3 linked regions of the Caenorhabditis elegans genome follow. The protein of the gene in region 2 purifies or fractionates together with the protein of the main gene of each other region. This does not show direct contact. Each region holds a gene or a part of one and is shown on either strand. Other genes may lie near its edges.

Evidence for each region.
Region 1: the proteins of aars-2 (region 2) and mppb-1 fractionate together in Caenorhabditis elegans (co-fractionation; one large-scale study listed by BioGRID). This does not show direct contact.
Region 3: the proteins of aars-2 (region 2) and C30G7.3 fractionate together in Caenorhabditis elegans (co-fractionation; one large-scale study listed by BioGRID). This does not show direct contact.

The regions. Positions count from the first base shown.
Region 1 is NC_003282.8:9,073,115-9,077,121, forward strand, and holds mppb-1 (Mitochondrial-processing peptidase subunit beta), read left to right. Parts: upstream 1-1,558; 5' UTR 1,559-1,562; coding exon 1,563-1,595; intron 1,596-1,641; coding exon 1,642-1,764; intron 1,765-1,813; coding exon 1,814-1,900; intron 1,901-1,960; coding exon 1,961-2,090; intron 2,091-2,143; coding exon 2,144-2,529; intron 2,530-2,612; coding exon 2,613-2,717; intron 2,718-2,772; coding exon 2,773-2,892; intron 2,893-2,943; coding exon 2,944-3,040; intron 3,041-3,088; coding exon 3,089-3,384; 3' UTR 3,385-3,457; downstream 3,458-4,007. Other genes in the region: Nuclear hormone receptor family member nhr-11, read left to right, coding at 106-254, 305-406; mans-4 (alpha-1,2-Mannosidase), read right to left, coding at 3,480-3,618, 3,661-4,007. UniProt on the Caenorhabditis elegans protein: Catalytic subunit of the essential mitochondrial processing protease (MPP), which cleaves the mitochondrial sequence off newly imported precursors proteins. Preferentially, cleaves after an arginine at position P2.
Region 2 is NC_003279.8:3,981,313-3,987,115, forward strand, and holds aars-2 (Alanine--tRNA ligase, cytoplasmic), read left to right. Parts: upstream 1-1,870; 5' UTR 1,871-1,892; coding exon 1,893-2,036; intron 2,037-2,086; coding exon 2,087-2,275; intron 2,276-2,325; coding exon 2,326-3,496; intron 3,497-3,546; coding exon 3,547-4,222; intron 4,223-4,292; coding exon 4,293-4,845; intron 4,846-4,898; coding exon 4,899-5,072; 3' UTR 5,073-5,269; downstream 5,270-5,803. UniProt on the Caenorhabditis elegans protein: Catalyzes the attachment of alanine to tRNA(Ala) in a two-step reaction: alanine is first activated by ATP to form Ala-AMP and then transferred to the acceptor end of tRNA(Ala). Also edits incorrectly charged tRNA(Ala) via its editing domain.
Region 3 is NC_003283.11:14,941,580-14,947,666, reverse strand, and holds C30G7.3 (MADF domain-containing protein), read left to right. Parts: upstream 1-1,962; 5' UTR 1,963-2,061; coding exon 2,062-2,082; intron 2,083-2,146; coding exon 2,147-2,213; intron 2,214-3,485; coding exon 3,486-3,583; intron 3,584-3,738; coding exon 3,739-3,858; intron 3,859-4,119; coding exon 4,120-4,271; intron 4,272-4,645; coding exon 4,646-4,964; intron 4,965-5,010; coding exon 5,011-5,094; intron 5,095-5,447; coding exon 5,448-5,492; 3' UTR 5,493-5,537; downstream 5,538-6,087. Other genes in the region: C30G7.4 (Matrix-remodeling-associated protein 7), read left to right, coding at 545-883.

The sequences.
Region 1 (4,007 bases), on a different chromosome or scaffold from region 2:
CATTTAGATTTGTTTTAAATAAAAATTCAAATACGATATACATAAGTTCATAATCTTTTTAAAAAAATGTATTCAACTTTCAAATTAATCCTTCAATAATTTCAGCATACTTCAAGCTAACTGAAAATGGCCGTGAAAAATGTCGTAGACAAAGGAATATCATAATTGGCTTTCTATCAAAAATGTGTCATTCACCAGGTGGAGGCGGAGAGCATCGTGTTGGAGAACTTCTGATGAGTATGAATTATCTCAGGGTTTGTTTATTTTTGTATAACAGCTATCCAGCAAACAAAGGATATTACAGGAATCTGCTCAAAAACTCACAACTTCTTACGTGATGCTCACAGTTTTCAATGTTCTCAACTGTGATTCAATGCTTCATGAAATGCTTAATTTTCAATACTAGCTAAATATTTGTGTGAAAGTGTTTTATTATGTTCAAATTTTATTGTTTTATCATGATCGTCAATAAAACAAGGGCAAATACTGTTTTACTACTTGATCTCTTACTACGTGATCTCTTTTACTATGATTTGCATACATAGATCTTTTACGACGTTTTACTCTTTTGCTACAACCGTATTTTTTACTCCGTTATCCCATTTCGATCTTTTGCTACAGTTTGTATCTTTTGTTACGGTGGACATTTTTACTACAATGACAAGGATTGTATCCTTTACTAATGATTTTTTACTACATACGAATTAAAAATTAATTTTCATAGTACATATATTCTAGATATGAACAAATGTATGAATATTTTTTAAAAATGCATAGGTCACAGTTTTAGTTTGTTCTCAAGTAGTTCTAGTAAATTTCAGTTGTTTTCTTTTGATGGGATACTGAGTTGGAGTTCATGGAGAGATACTGTTGGGTTACTGTAGTTGTACTGTGGTAGTAAGAGTTTTCAGATTATATCGTTTTTTTTTTTAATTTCTAGAAATTGATTCATTATGAAATGATCAGAACTTATTATGAACATTTGGCTCTAGATATTAAAAAAACACGATATGCTCTTTTGTTCTCTTGTAATCATGAATAAGGATCGCTAGATACCCACTCCTGTTTGTGCGCGATTATAAATAATCCCCGAAAGGACATTTCCAAAATTACCGTTTCCCTGGACATCGTTTTCCAAAAATACAAGCTCTAAACGAGAGCCCCTTGATGTTTTTTATTTGGTTCGAAATTTTATATGTCTGCATAATCTGAAAAATTAATTGGAAATTCCGAAGTTATGAAATACCGCGTGCAATTGTTCAAAATCTTTTATTCAAACTTCCGCCTTTTTGCCCGCGGCGGCCGCGTTTGTGAAAGTTCTTCCATTCGCTACGTACACCTCGTGGACAAAGTTAATTTCACTTTTTTAGAAGCATTTTCTGCAATTCTGTTCAATTTTTGTTTAATTCGTTACTCTAATCGTTTTGTTGTATCAATGTCAGCAAAAAGATTTTTATTCCAGTATTACGTAGATTTGTTTGTGTTTAGCCGACAAATTGAGCTTCACTATTGCGTAACCATTGTTTCCTTGAAAATAGAGCATATAAATTTTTTTCAGATAAATGTACAGAAGACTAGCCTCCGGCTTATATCAGGTAATTTAAACAATTTTGTTTACAGTGAAAGTAATTTATTTTTCAGACTTCCCAAAGAAGAATCGCACAAGTTCAGCCGAAATCAGTATTTGTCCCAGAAACAATTGTAACGACACTTCCGAATGGGTTCAGAGTTGCAACAGAAAACACAGGTGGATCTACTGCTACTGTAATTATTTTTCCTAAATTATTTGTTTGTTCAAAGCTATTTTTATTAGATCGGAGTATTTATTGATGCCGGCAGTCGCTACGAGAATGAGAAAAACAATGGAACAGCTCATTTTCTAGAGCATATGGCGTTCAAAGTTAGTTTAATTTAATTTTTAGAAAATTTTGAATTTCATATAAAAATCCGAATTTTTCAGGGAACGCCTCGCCGGACTCGAATGGGATTGGAGCTTGAAGTTGAAAATATTGGAGCTCATCTAAATGCGTACACTTCTAGAGAAAGCACGACGTATTATGCTAAATGTTTTACAGAAAAGCTTGACCAATGTAAGAAATAAAATTATTAATGCAATTTTTAAAATATCTATTCCGAATTGCAGCCGTCGATATTCTTTCGGATATTCTTCTGAACAGCAGTCTTGCCACTAAAGATATCGAAGCAGAACGTGGTGTAATTATTCGAGAAATGGAAGAAGTTGCACAAAACTTTCAAGAAGTTGTATTTGATATTCTTCATGCTGATGTTTTCAAAGGAAATCCTCTTTCCTATACAATTCTTGGTCCAATTGAATTAATTCAAACAATCAATAAGAATGATCTTCAAGGATATATTAATACACATTATCGAAGTGGCAGAATGGTATTAGCAGCAGCCGGAGGTGTCAATCATGATGCGATTGTTAAAATGGCAGAAAAATATTTCGGAGAGCTCAAGCATGGAGATTCTTCAACTGAATTCGTCCCAGCCACTTACAGTCCCTGTGAAGTCAGTTTTTGTTTGAATAAATTCGCTATCAGCAAATATTAAATAGAATTAACAAAATATATTTTTAAATGTTTACATTTCAGGTTCGAGGTGACATTCCAGATCTTCCAATGTTGTACGGAGCGATGGTTGTCGAAGGAGTATCTTGGACCCATGAAGATAATCTTGCCCTTATGGTGGCTAATACGGTACTTTTTTAAAAAATATTTTTATAACTTAGAAGTTGATAGTTCATCATTCCAGCTAATGGGTGAATACGATCGTATGCGTGGATTCGGCGTGAATGCTCCAACTCGCTTGGCTGAAAAATTGTCACAAGACGCAGGAATTGAGGTTTTCCAATCATTTAACACGTGCTATAAAGTAATGAATTCCTGGGAAAAAAAACTCTTTTTACATATTTCTGTAATTCAGGAGACAGGATTAGTTGGAACTTATTTCGTAGCTGCTCCGGAATCCATCGACAATCTTATTGATTCAGTTCTTCAACAATGGGTTTGGCTTGCGAACAGTGAGTTTTTATTTAACATAGTCCTGAGTCAACATCTTTCATTTCCAGACATTGATGAAGCAGCGGTTGATCGTGCCAAGCGCTCCCTGCATACGAATCTACTCCTAATGCTCGATGGCTCAACTCCAGTCTGTGAAGATATTGGTCGACAACTCCTTTGCTACGGTCGTCGGATACCAACTCCAGAATTACATGCCCGAATCGAATCAATCACAGTCCAGCAGCTCCGAGATGTTTGCCGACGTGTATTCCTTGAAGGACAGGTCTCTGCAGCAGTTGTTGGAAAGACGCAGTATTGGCCAGTTAATGAAGAAATTCATGGAAGATTGATCAGAATGCAATAGATACATGTGTTATAGTTTATTTGTTAGACAAACGTTTTGTTTTTGGTAAAAATAAATTCTAAAAACCCGTCAAAAAGTGAAAAATACAGCATCAGTCAATTGTAAATTGGAAGTGGGTGGGCTTCAGTGTTGAGAACCCATCGATCGAGTGGAAGGATTTCTTGATCATCAGCCATTAGAAGGTAAAGGTATTTGAGGGTCTCAGCAAGGAAGAATGATTCCATTTTGTCACGTCTGAATTTGAATGATTAAAAATTAAACAAAATGCTGACAAACCTTTTGATCTTCTTTCTGAGCACATTGTCAATTGAGCTGTATCCACCAGTTTCCACTTTTGCATACTTTTCAATCGACTCAAAAGCTTTCCATCCCCACTCTTGATATTTCTTATCTTTAGTAACACGATACAAATAGAACCACGCTTCAATTGCTTCTGGACGGAGAAGTGAATGAGCATCAAGATTCTTCACATAAGTATCCGCTTGTGTCATATCAGAACTATCCTCCATATTGAAATGTATTATTTCTGGTCCAAGTCCTGTTGGATTTTCATACATTTTATGACAAACATTTCCAATATTTTTAGCCATTTCCAAATGTTCATTGTCATGATCAAGACCATT
Region 2 (5,803 bases):
AAAAAATATCAAAAATTGTTATAATTTTCAGAAACGCTCGCCAAAAACTTTCGGAAAGGACCGGAAAATGTTTCATATGATTTGAAGAACATAGAGAAAATTATACGTTCAAGAAATTTAGAAATAGTTCCAGGAAACTTGAGGTTTTAAGTTGTAATTGCTCAGAACTTAGTTATATAATATTTATGTTGCTCGAAAATTTCCGGTAATCAGGGAAAAAACGTTCCATCTGCAAAGAAGGCTTAGAAAATTTAGAATTTGATTTCAATTTTGAGTACGCCAGTCGGAGCACGCGCTTCAGCGCGTGCGAACGGCTGGTATATATATATATAAGTTATTGGTAAATTGTAAATAAGTTTGTAAATGGTTTAAAATAAACCTCACAATATTTTGTACTTCTTCTTAATTGATTCTTCGTTTCTAAAATTACTTGAATAACCCAATAAGAAGTAGCTTTGTCTTCAGTATAAAGATCAATTTTTTTGGCGATGGATCACTTGTAAATAGTAGCTGAAGTCTATATTTCTTGCTCTCTACATTCAAACCATGCATATGAAAAGAATCTGTTCTCGTGAACGTATGTTCTATAGAAGGCACCTCCAGGATTCGCTTTCGAACGACCGATGCAGATTTTTTCGAACAAAGAGATAAAATGAAAACGTCTGGTTCATTCATTTCCTTGAGCAATTGTGAATGAACCACACTTGGTAGAGAGAATAATTTGACGGACATTCTAGAAAAAATTCTGTAATGTTGCGTACTTGGTTTAAAGTTATGCTATACAACTAAATTAATATCCAGTTGAGAAAATGAAGAAAGTTTAAATAAATGTAAAATTAAAAAAAAATACAACGATTTTCAATCAAAGATTAGAGTGAGTCTTTCGGAGAAAAAGAGCAACTCAATGACCAGCTTGAATTTATCGATCTGACAAGACAAGAGATTTTATTTCTGAAGAGCGACAGTGATATTCCATTTTCCTTCGGTTCTTCGTATTATTTTCTCATTTTTCGCTTACTATTAGTATTATATCGATTAATCAATTATTTTAATTGTTTTCGAAAAACGAGCCCGTAAATCGACACCACAGTAGTCATTTACATAATTACTGTAGTTTTCGCTACGAGATATTTTGCTCGCAAAATGCTGCTCAATACGCATTCTCAGAATTTTGTGTTCCTGTACTAAAAATCTATTCCACGTAATTCTAAAACTAAAGGTTCACAGATATATCAGTTTTTCAGATTTAACACTTTTTTCGGGTTTTTTTGTAATTTCCCAATTTTCTTAAAATTATCATGTTCGGCACTATCTTATTATCTATCCAGTTGTTTTTTTTTCAAATGAAAATCAATTTATTGCTCCACAGAAAAACATATTGAATGCGGTGTTGACAAGTTTTACCGAGTGAGAGACTACACAAATTTTAGAGATGGAAAAGAGAACAATGTGTGCTGGGTCTTTTATGAATCGAATCGTTTACAAATGGATTTGCGTTCATTCCTATTTCATTTTGATGATAAAAATGAAAGAAATTGACCAAATTTTCTACCGCAAAAAATTAAATTTTGAAAATGAAGTTTTCCCGCGGTTTTCATAGAAAGTGTGCGGCGCTTGCGTTTGGACTCCGCCCACCTCACTGAAATGTTTCCCGCACTCATTCTTCATTTTATTCGCTATTCTTGTCTTTTTCCGCGCTTCCGCTTTCTTCCGCGCACTGTTTCGATTTTTCTTTGTTCAGCTTCCTCGTTCTCGCACCCAATTCGCACCGAATCGAATTCGATTCATTGCGAAATCTCTCGTAATCTCGCCTCCCCTATTTTTCGTCGTTTATAAGTTAGCAAAAACAATTTTAAAGTTTTTTCTTTCAGAGCAACCTCTCCTGGGTTACTATGAAGCACCTGACTGCCTCAGAGGTCCGCTCTACCTTCATCAACTTTTTCCGAGAGAAGAAGGAGCACACTTATGTACATTCGTCGTCTGTTATTCCGCACGATGACCCAACTCTTCTTTTCGCCAACGCGGGAATGAACCAAGTAAGAATATTCAAACGGCTTTTCTTGCAATTAATAATTAAAATTTTCAGTTCAAGCCGTTGTTCCTCGGAATCGCCGATCCAAACAGCGACCTTGCCAAGCTGAAAAGAGCCGTGAACACGCAGAAGTGCATTCGCGCCGGTGGAAAGCATAACGACTTGGACGATGTCGGCAAAGATGTCTACCATCACACATACTTCGAGATGCTTGGAAATTGGTCTTTCGGTGATTATTTCAAGGTTAGAAATTGATTTAGTTAATTAAATTTCTTTAAAAAAATAATTTTCAGAAAGAAATCATCACATGGGCTTGGGAACTTCTCACAACAGTATACGGAATCCCAGCGGAACGTCTTTATGTGTCGGTTTTTGGTGGCGACGAGGCAAACGGAGTCCCCGCCGACTCTGAAGCTCGTGATATCTGGAGATCCGTCGGAGTGCCAGACGAGCGCATTTTGAACTTCGGTATGAAGGATAACTTCTGGGAGATGGGAGATGTTGGACCATGTGGACCATGCTCTGAGATTCACTATGATCGCATTGGAAATCGTGACGCATCTCATCTTGTCAACGCCGATGATCCAATGGTTGTTGAAATCTGGAATCTTGTCTTCATTCAATTCAATCGCGAGGAAGGAGGCGTCCTGAAACCATTGCCAGCGAAGCACATCGATTGTGGTCTTGGACTCGAACGATTGATTGCTGTGATGCAGGATAAGACGAGCAACTACGATACGGACATTTTCCAACCAATTTTCGAGGCGATTCACAAAGGAAGTGGCGTTCGTGCCTATACTGGCTTCATTGGTGACGAAGACAAAGACGGAGTGGACATGGCATATCGTGTAGTTGCTGATCACGTCAGAACATTGACCATTGCTCTCTCTGATGGTGGCCGTCCGGATAATTCTGGAAGAGGATATGTGCTCCGTCGAATTCTTCGTCGTGGAGTTCGTTATGCCAGCGAAAAGTTGAATGCACAGCCTGGATTCTTCGCATCACTCGTTCCAGTGGTTATTTCAATTCTCGGAGAGACTTTCCCAGAACTCAGCCGTGATCCAGTGACCGTCATGGATATCATCAACGACGAGGAGAAGCAATTCCTGAAAACGTTGTCTCGTGGACGTGTTCTCTTCCAACGCGCTGTTCAATCGCTTCCAGAAGGAACCATGACGTTCCCTGGAGATGTTTCATGGAGACTCTACGATACATATGGATTCCCAGCTGACTTGACTCAACTGATGGCCGAAGAGAAAGGATTGTCTGTCGATAATACTGCTTTCGAGGAGGCTCGCAGGAAAGCCATCGAGACATCATCAGCTGGAACTGGAAAGTTCCGTGACACGCTGGATTTGGATGTTCACGCATTGGCTGAGCTTCAACAGAAGGGAGTTCCAACTACCGACGATTCGCCAAAGTACGCTTACACGTTTACTGGAGAAGGATCCGATGCTGTGTACAGTATGTTTTTTGTTTGTTTTTATGAACTTGTAATAATTATTTTTCTTCAGAGTTTGAGCCATGCGTTGGAAAGATTCTTGCTATTCGCCGAGACGGAAAGTTTGTCGATCAACTTGCTGCCGGAGAAGAAGGAGCCATTCTTCTCGATCGGACAAATTTCTACGCCGAGCAGGGAGGTCAGATCTACGACGTCGGAGTTTTGACAAAAGTCAATGACGAGTCGAACGAGTTCAACGTGAGCAACTGCCAAGTTCGTGGTGGATACATCGTGCTTGTTGGATCCGCCGAAGGAAGCTTCTCAGTCGGTGATCAGGTCAACGAACGATTCGATGAAGACCGGAAGCAACTGATCATGAAGAATCACACCGGAACTCATGTCCTCAACTATGCTCTTCGCAAAGTTCTCGCCGATTCGGATCAGAAGGGATCACTCGTTGCTCCAGATCGTATGAGATTCGACTTCACCAACAAAGCTGGAATGACTGTTCAGCAAGTGAAGAAAGCCGAGGAATACGCTCAACAGCTGATTGACACAAAAGGACAAGTTTACGCCAAGAACTCGCCACTTGGAGAAGCCAAAAAAGTCAAGGGACTTCGTGCGATGTTTGATGAAACATACCCAGATCCAGTTCGTGTTGTCGCTGTCGGAACTCCAGTTGAGCAACTTCTCCAGAATCCTGATGCAGAGGAGGGACAGAACACGACTGTCGAGTTCTGCGGAGGAACGTGAGTACTAATTCTTTTTATATTTTATGATGATACCCGTTAAATTTTGATATAATTTTTATAATTTCAGCCATCTCCAGAACGTGTCTCACATTGGCCGCATTGTCATCGCATCGGAAGAAGCTATTGCTAAAGGAATCCGTCGTATCGTTGCATTGACAGGACCAGAAGCTGAAAGAGCCATTGCCAGAGCCGATCGACTGACTGCTCGATTAGAAGAAGAATCGAAGCATGCCGATAAGAAGGATGAGCTCTTGGCCAACAAGGATAAGTTCAAGGCTCTCCAGAAGAAGATTCAAGAAATTGTCGATGAAGCCAACGGAGCTCAGCTGCCATACTGGCGAAAGGATTCTATCCGTGAAAAGGCAAAGGCCATTCAGAAGACTTTGGATGGATACACAAAGGCACAACAAGCCGCTGTCGCTGAAAAGGTTCTTGGAGAAGCCAAGGAACTTGCTGCTGTCGCTGAGCAGCCTACTGTTCTCGTTCACGTCTTCGCCGCCAATGCTAACAGCAAAGCCATCGATAATGCTCTGAAACTTCTCAAGGACACAAAAGCAGTTATGGCTTTCTCTGTGAATGAAGATTCTGGAAAAGTTTTGTGTCTTGCTAAAGTTGATAAGGTGAGAAATTTGAAATTTTGAAACAATTCAGAAAAATAATATAATTTTTTCAGAGCTTGGTGAGCAACGGCCTGAAAGCCAACGAGTGGGTGAATGAAGTTTGCACAGTTCTCGGTGGAAAAGGTGGTGGAAAGGACGCAAATGCTCAGCTCACCGGAGAGAATGTCGATAAACTTGATGCTGCCGTCGAACTCGCCCAGAAATTTGCCCTTGCTGCAATCAATTAATTTCCCCAATTTTCAATCTATTTCCTGTTTTTCATATCGCTTCCTTTCCTCTATTTATTGTTGTCTGTTGCATTCTAGTTCATTGCTCTCCCTCCCCGTCATTATATTTATTTCGTATTTCTATTTTATGTTTCAATTTGTTTGCTGGTTTGTCGAGGTTTCAAAATGTTTATGCAGTAAATAGAGGCCAAACTTTTTCCCATTTCACGAAAACAACAATTTTGAGTGGGTTGGACGCGACAGCTGGACAGCTGCTCAACTCGCGGATCAACAACACCTCGATCGATTTCAAAAAAAAAAGTACCTTCGACTTGTCAGCCAACAAGTTTCGAAAGATTCTGGAGATTTCTGAAAGTGACGTGGCATTACACTTCAGACATCTCTAATTTGTGGCACAGCTATCTGAACATTACAATGGACAAAAATGTGAAGAACAACAAAAGAAACGGAACGGCAATGAATTCCAGATGGCGATGAATGTGTTTTACGGAGGAAAAGAGCAGATTTTTGCAATTTTGCAGATTAGAAAAATGATTTGAGAACAAATTCCAGACATATGCTTAAGAGATAAGTTTCTTGATTCCCGGTCGTGTACTGCTCTGGGACAATCAATTGATAAAAATATTAATATATCTATCCAATATATTCAATTATATATCCAAAAAGATATATCCAATTGAATTCGGGCGATTTTTCGTGTTTTATCATGAATTCTCTTGTTTTTCTAATGA
Region 3 (6,087 bases), on a different chromosome or scaffold from region 2:
CCAAAAATTTGATATTTTTTGATGTTCCTTGGAGCAACAAAACTACTGAATTCTGTAATTTCGAAATTTGCCGAGCTCGGCAAATTTGCCGCACAACCCTGATGCATGCAGCATTCTTTTCTTTTTTTTCACATTCTCAGTAACGTTCCCCACATCACAATGAAGCAATGCACCTACGAAACAATTAAAGAATTTTTTCACTTGCAGGTAGCCCTCAAAAGTACGAAAAAAAAATTGAAACCAATGTTTTTCTCGCCAAATAATTTGTTTCATCGGGAAAATAATAACGAAAAAGTTTCACAATTAAATATTATTAGTCACATTTCCAAAATAAATCATCATCAATTGTTTGCGATAACAAAAAAAACTTCGGAATTCTTAACACCTAGAAGCAGCCGTCTGAAAAGTACAAAAGCTATTATATTTATGACAAAAATGACATTTAAAATTGATTCTATATTTTCAGAAGCTGTAAGTTTTTTCCAATTCAAAAACATATAGGATACAAATGATTTCTACTTCAAAGAATTCCAGAACTTCAAACATGGCAGTTTTTGATTTCATCATTGGTTTCGGCTTCATGTTAATTGCTCTTTTTCTCATTTTCCTATACCTCAACAAGGATGGGCACATTTCAATAGCTATCAAAAAAATATTAACGAATTCAAGACAAAAGGCAAAAGATTTGAAGGATGGTTCAACATCCGACCCATCAAAAACGACACCAGCCGCACCTGCATGCTCTCCAGTATCAAATGAGGAAATAACAATACCCTCAGATGTTCAATCGGTGAATAATACTTTATCAGAAATTTCATTGTCAGAAGCTGAAGTTCAAGTTGATGAAGAGAATCCAAATATTGTGAAAATCCATGTAATTTGATGACTGTTCGCATTTCTAGTCATCATTTTGAAATTTAATAAACCAATGCGACATCGTAGTTTACTTCACCGTTGTCAATTTTTGTAGATGTACTGAAAATGTGTTTGAAATTTGTCCAATTGCAAAAATAATAATTAAAAGCTGACAATAATCATCTATTGTTCACAATGACGAAGAAATTCTAAATGCTTCTTACATAGAAGCCGACTGATAAATATAGAACTATAATATTTATGACATGATAGCATCCAAAATTGTTTCTATATTATAAAAAGCTGTAAGTTTTTTGTTCAATTTGATGGGATGGCAGCAAAAAAGTTACAATTCGACGTTAAACCATCACAACCCAGATTGACCTCGCAATGAAATATTTGACCAACTGTAGATTAAAAAACATATACCGTATTATTTCTATTAGTCTTGCACCAACAATGCTTAATTCCGAGATTTTTAGAAGATAATTTAAGTTATTTTCGTAGCATTAAGCCATATTGGTTATCATGATATCTGACTCAAATTTGGTGTCTTGGCTCTATTCTCGTGCAAACACCAAAGTCGCGTTAAAATATTTCATTAACCTAGGGAACTGCCACAAAAGTTGCACACTTTATTATCCACGACAATTGATTTCTTGGCTTTTGTGAATAAAAAATAATGTTTTTCGTAAATGAAAAATTTCAAATGATGGATTTTCCGGAAATTAATAAAAAATTATCAATTTTTCAAAAATTAAAATTTCATATTATCGACTTTTCAAAAAAAAAAAATTAAAACTTCACATTATCGATTTGTCAAAAATTGAAAATGGCAGATTACCGATCATTCAAAATTTATCGATTTTTACAGGAAGATGGAAAGTATGTAACTCTGAAATCTAATGTCGTGGAAAATGGTTTCTACTCGGGAGTCTTATAGATTTTTTCTCATTAATTTATTGATTTTTGTATTGTCATGATCTCAATTTGAAAAAAAGAAAGAAAATGTAATAATTATCGATATATTTTTTTAAATAAAACTGTTTTTGAAATTAAATCTTCACGTGGCCTTTTCGAATTTTGTTATTCTCAACAATAATCGATAATCCGTGAGATTGATAAAATCGATAAATTTCAATTATTTCTCACTTTTATACTCGTCAATACCACATTTATTACTCGCCGCTTATTCACATTACTCCAATGAACTGCAGACAATCAAAGGTGAGGTGCACGAGAAATGCGCCAGCATTTGCTTGCGCAATTCACGATACCGTATATTTTTCAGAAAAATTCTCACATCTGGGACAACGTCTGTACCGCCGGCACTCGTCGTAATCCGTATTACGTCTGCTGTGAGTTTGAGAGTCGGGAAAAACTGATAGTTTTTGTTGTTTCTGTTCAAAAATCGATAATTTCTCAAAAATAAATATTTTGAAAATTTAGAAAATATCGATTTTTCCGTAAAATCTATATTTTACACAAAAATTTTCACCTACGTGTAATTATCGATTTTTGTTCCAGAAAAGAGTTAAAATTAAAATTTTCGAATTATTGATTTTTTTGTTGGTAAAAATAGCATACAGGGTGGGCCAAAAGTATGGTAACACATGAAGCGCTCTTTTACATGAGCTTTTCGCGCGACTGCCACGTCATACGTACATTCTTCTATCGAATACTGATAGCTGAATAAATTTCCTTCAATTTGACTCAAAATTTGTAATGTTTCCCAATAAGGTGCGATCTTTATCACCTCGACAATTTGGCGAACCCTTTCGAAAAAACGGTAATTTGGCACGCGGCACTTCCCACACAAACACACCTCCCACGCACGCCAATAATTTTCAGATGTATGATTTTTATGTTAAATTGAAAGTTAAAGAAGTGAAGAAGCGTTTTTAATTGTTTTTGTAGCATATAAAAATGTTCTGTGTCGACACTGGCGCCTAGCAAGAACCTTTGTATATTTCATGAATTCAACTTTGCGAAATTTACTCAGTTTTTTTGGTTTCGCAAGGCGTAACGACCCACAAAATCATCCGAGCTCAATTTTCTAAAAAAATTCTGGAAAGTCAGGTCAAAACGTCTCGAAAAATACTAAAATAAATTTATCTGAATACTGCTACTCGCCGCTCACATCCATCTTTCTGGCGACTATGCCATTCAAGACTTAACCTACTGCCGCAGTCCATGACAGAAATACCGTGATAGAAAATATTTTGATTTTTGTTTTTAAAGAATCTCTAGACCAAGGGCATTCTTTGAACTATAAAAACTTGTAAGACACTTTATGGATTCCTCAAGAAAAATGTAGAAATCCCGCAGAATGCCGACTTGCGTGCCATAAAGATCGTGATCTCAAAAGTTCTGAAGGCCTGCAGCAATGCGGATGGATATATTTTGAAAATTCAAAACGTTCATCTGGTCAGTATTTTATGGAGAACAAAACTTGTACAAATTGATGTAATAACTCTCTCCACTAGTAAAGTTATAGAGCTGCAAACGTGTTACCATACTTTTGGCCCACCCTGTAATTCCTAAAAATCAATACTTCGAAAATATTTTTGATTTTAAGTAAAAAGCGATATTTTTTCACGTTCTTTTTTTTGATTATCGATTTTATGCAGACGGCACCACCGGCTCCACCACCTCATCACTGTCAATTTTGGAATTTTCACGTGAACAAATCACCGTAGTGTCGCCACGTGTCAAATGTCCCCTCAAGGTGAGAATATTGGAAAAAAATCATTTCAAAATTTGATCGCTGTACAAAATGCCATTTTTAACAACTATCTATCGTCAGATTCCGACCGGAAATGTATTGATTTTTTGATTTTTTGGACTAAAAATCAATAAATCAATATATATTTTTATTTTCAGCAAAAAATTGTGGAAAAACCGAAGAAAAGGAATGTATATGTCACGAACTGGGATCGTGCAGCGGCGGAGCAACCAAAGGCACTTGCCACGTGGATTTATCAGCCATTTGATAAGAGAAAGGTGGGTCGAGAATTGCGCCAAGGCTCTATCATTTTGTTGGCTTGTTGGACATCCTATCAGAAAGACATACCTGAAATTTCAGTTCGATAAGACTATTTTGAGCAGTGTTACCAGGCCTTGAAGTTTCTTATAAGATTAATCGACCGCGTCGCAGGTTGTTTGCTTTGACTAGTTGTAACTTTGCTCCCAGTGGATTGATTTGAAATTTTTTGTGTGGCTAGCTGTGTATTATTACGTACATTCAATTCAAAAAATTTTCAGTACAACAACCGCACGGCATCCGACGCCTTCGACGCCTACCAACACCGCCTGAAACTGAAAAAACTGCCCGAGACAAAGCAAAAAGTCACAAAAACCACCAAAAGACATGTGACTATCAATGAAGCGGCGACTCAAGTCATTCAGGATGTGTGGTGAGTTTGCACTAGAAACGCGCCAAGGCACGAGTTTTGCGTTAAGGCGTTAACAGTAGTATACATACATACATCAGAAATCAATACAGAGAAATCAATACACAGCTCTACGAGCATTTTGAACAATTTTGAACAGTTACGTAGATTTTGAACAGTTACGTAGATTTGAAGTATTGAGAAAAACCGCGACGCAGACTAAAGTTTTGAACCACTGTAACTTTGCTCGCACTGTTCGAAGACTTTCAAAATTTTTTGTGAACGCTCCCAATGTAATTGTTAATATGATGACGTCATCATTGCTCCTTGGCGTATTTTTCGTGCCATGACGCAATTCTTGATCATTAAATTTGAAGCCCTAATTTTCCTAGTTTCAGCCACCTCCAACCGAAATCCTACCAAAAAATTCGCATATCAAATTGTCGAAATGATGAGGTGAAAATCGATAGTTTCTCTGCTAACCGAGTTCCAAAAGACGATGATATTGACGACCTGAACGTGAATGTTCCAGTTGAAGATGATGATGACGTGGAACTCGATGACGTCATCCTTGCTCAAAATCCGGCGTTTTACGGCACAATTGAAGCGGAAAAGTGTGCAGAACGAGTTGCCGCACATCTATCGATGGCCTGTGAAAACATGGAACGTTTGCAATTTGTGACGGAAGCCGTGTATCCACAGAGCGCCGCTCATTTGGTGAGTGATTGCCTAATATGGAAAATAAATATTGATTTTTTTGCAGAAGAAGCTTCAAGAAATCGATGATGACGTCAAGGATTTCAATTGTCAGATGAGACAGCGTCGTGTCAAAGCTTCGAATCCAGGAGTACGTACTTTTAAGTTTCTGTGTGAAATTTCATGGCTGGACCGCGACGCGACACGAAACTCATGAAATTTTTGAAACTTTAGCGTTTTAATTCAGAACATCAAATTAGATGAAAAAAATGAACCACAGAAAATTTCAGAGCTGTAGCCACATTTTGAGCAAAGTTAAGGTGGTTTGAAAGTCCTAGCGACACACGACGCATGTCAAAACTTGCAGTTACCCTAACTTTGCTCTTAGTAGACACAGAGCTCTGAAATTTTTTGAGCGTGCTCCCCATGCAATAGAAAACTTGTTTGCGCAATTTTGGTGCCTTGCAAACACCATAACCGTGTAAAAATATTTTATTATTCCAGGGAACAGTCACAAAAGTTGCACACTTCATTATCCACGGCAATTGATTTTCCTCGATTTTTGCGAATAAAGAATTTATTGATTGGATTTCCAATTTTTTAAACCTTTTTTGTAGTCACCTAACAACCCGGATTTTCAAGTAGATTTTTAACAATTTTCAGGAAAGCGAATAACTGGAAATAATGCCTAAGTGCCTAAGACTAAGCCTAAAAATGAGCCTAAGGCTAAACCAAAAAAAATCCTAAGCCTAAGCCCTGTGACATAAGCCGGCAAAGTGAAGCAAAACGGCTTGTTTTTTGCGCTGTTATGAGCTTCATTCTTATTTGTTAGACCTTGTGTGTCCCCAAGCCAAGCTATTTCGTCGACATGATGATAAAAATTGGTTTTTGATTTAAACGAATTTTTTGACGCCATACTTATTTATTCGAGAAAAAATAAGCATATATAAAATAGGAAATTCAACAGAGAGTCAAACAAATTAAACGCTTTTTCAAACTGAACTTTCAGGAAAAATAGCAATACGTTTTATCTGAAAAGGGTTGTTTGCTATTATATTGTTTTGTTGCAGAGAACTTATTAATAATATTTATTTTTAAAAAAACCATGTTTTTAAAATTGAAACCAGATACCAAAATAAAAAAA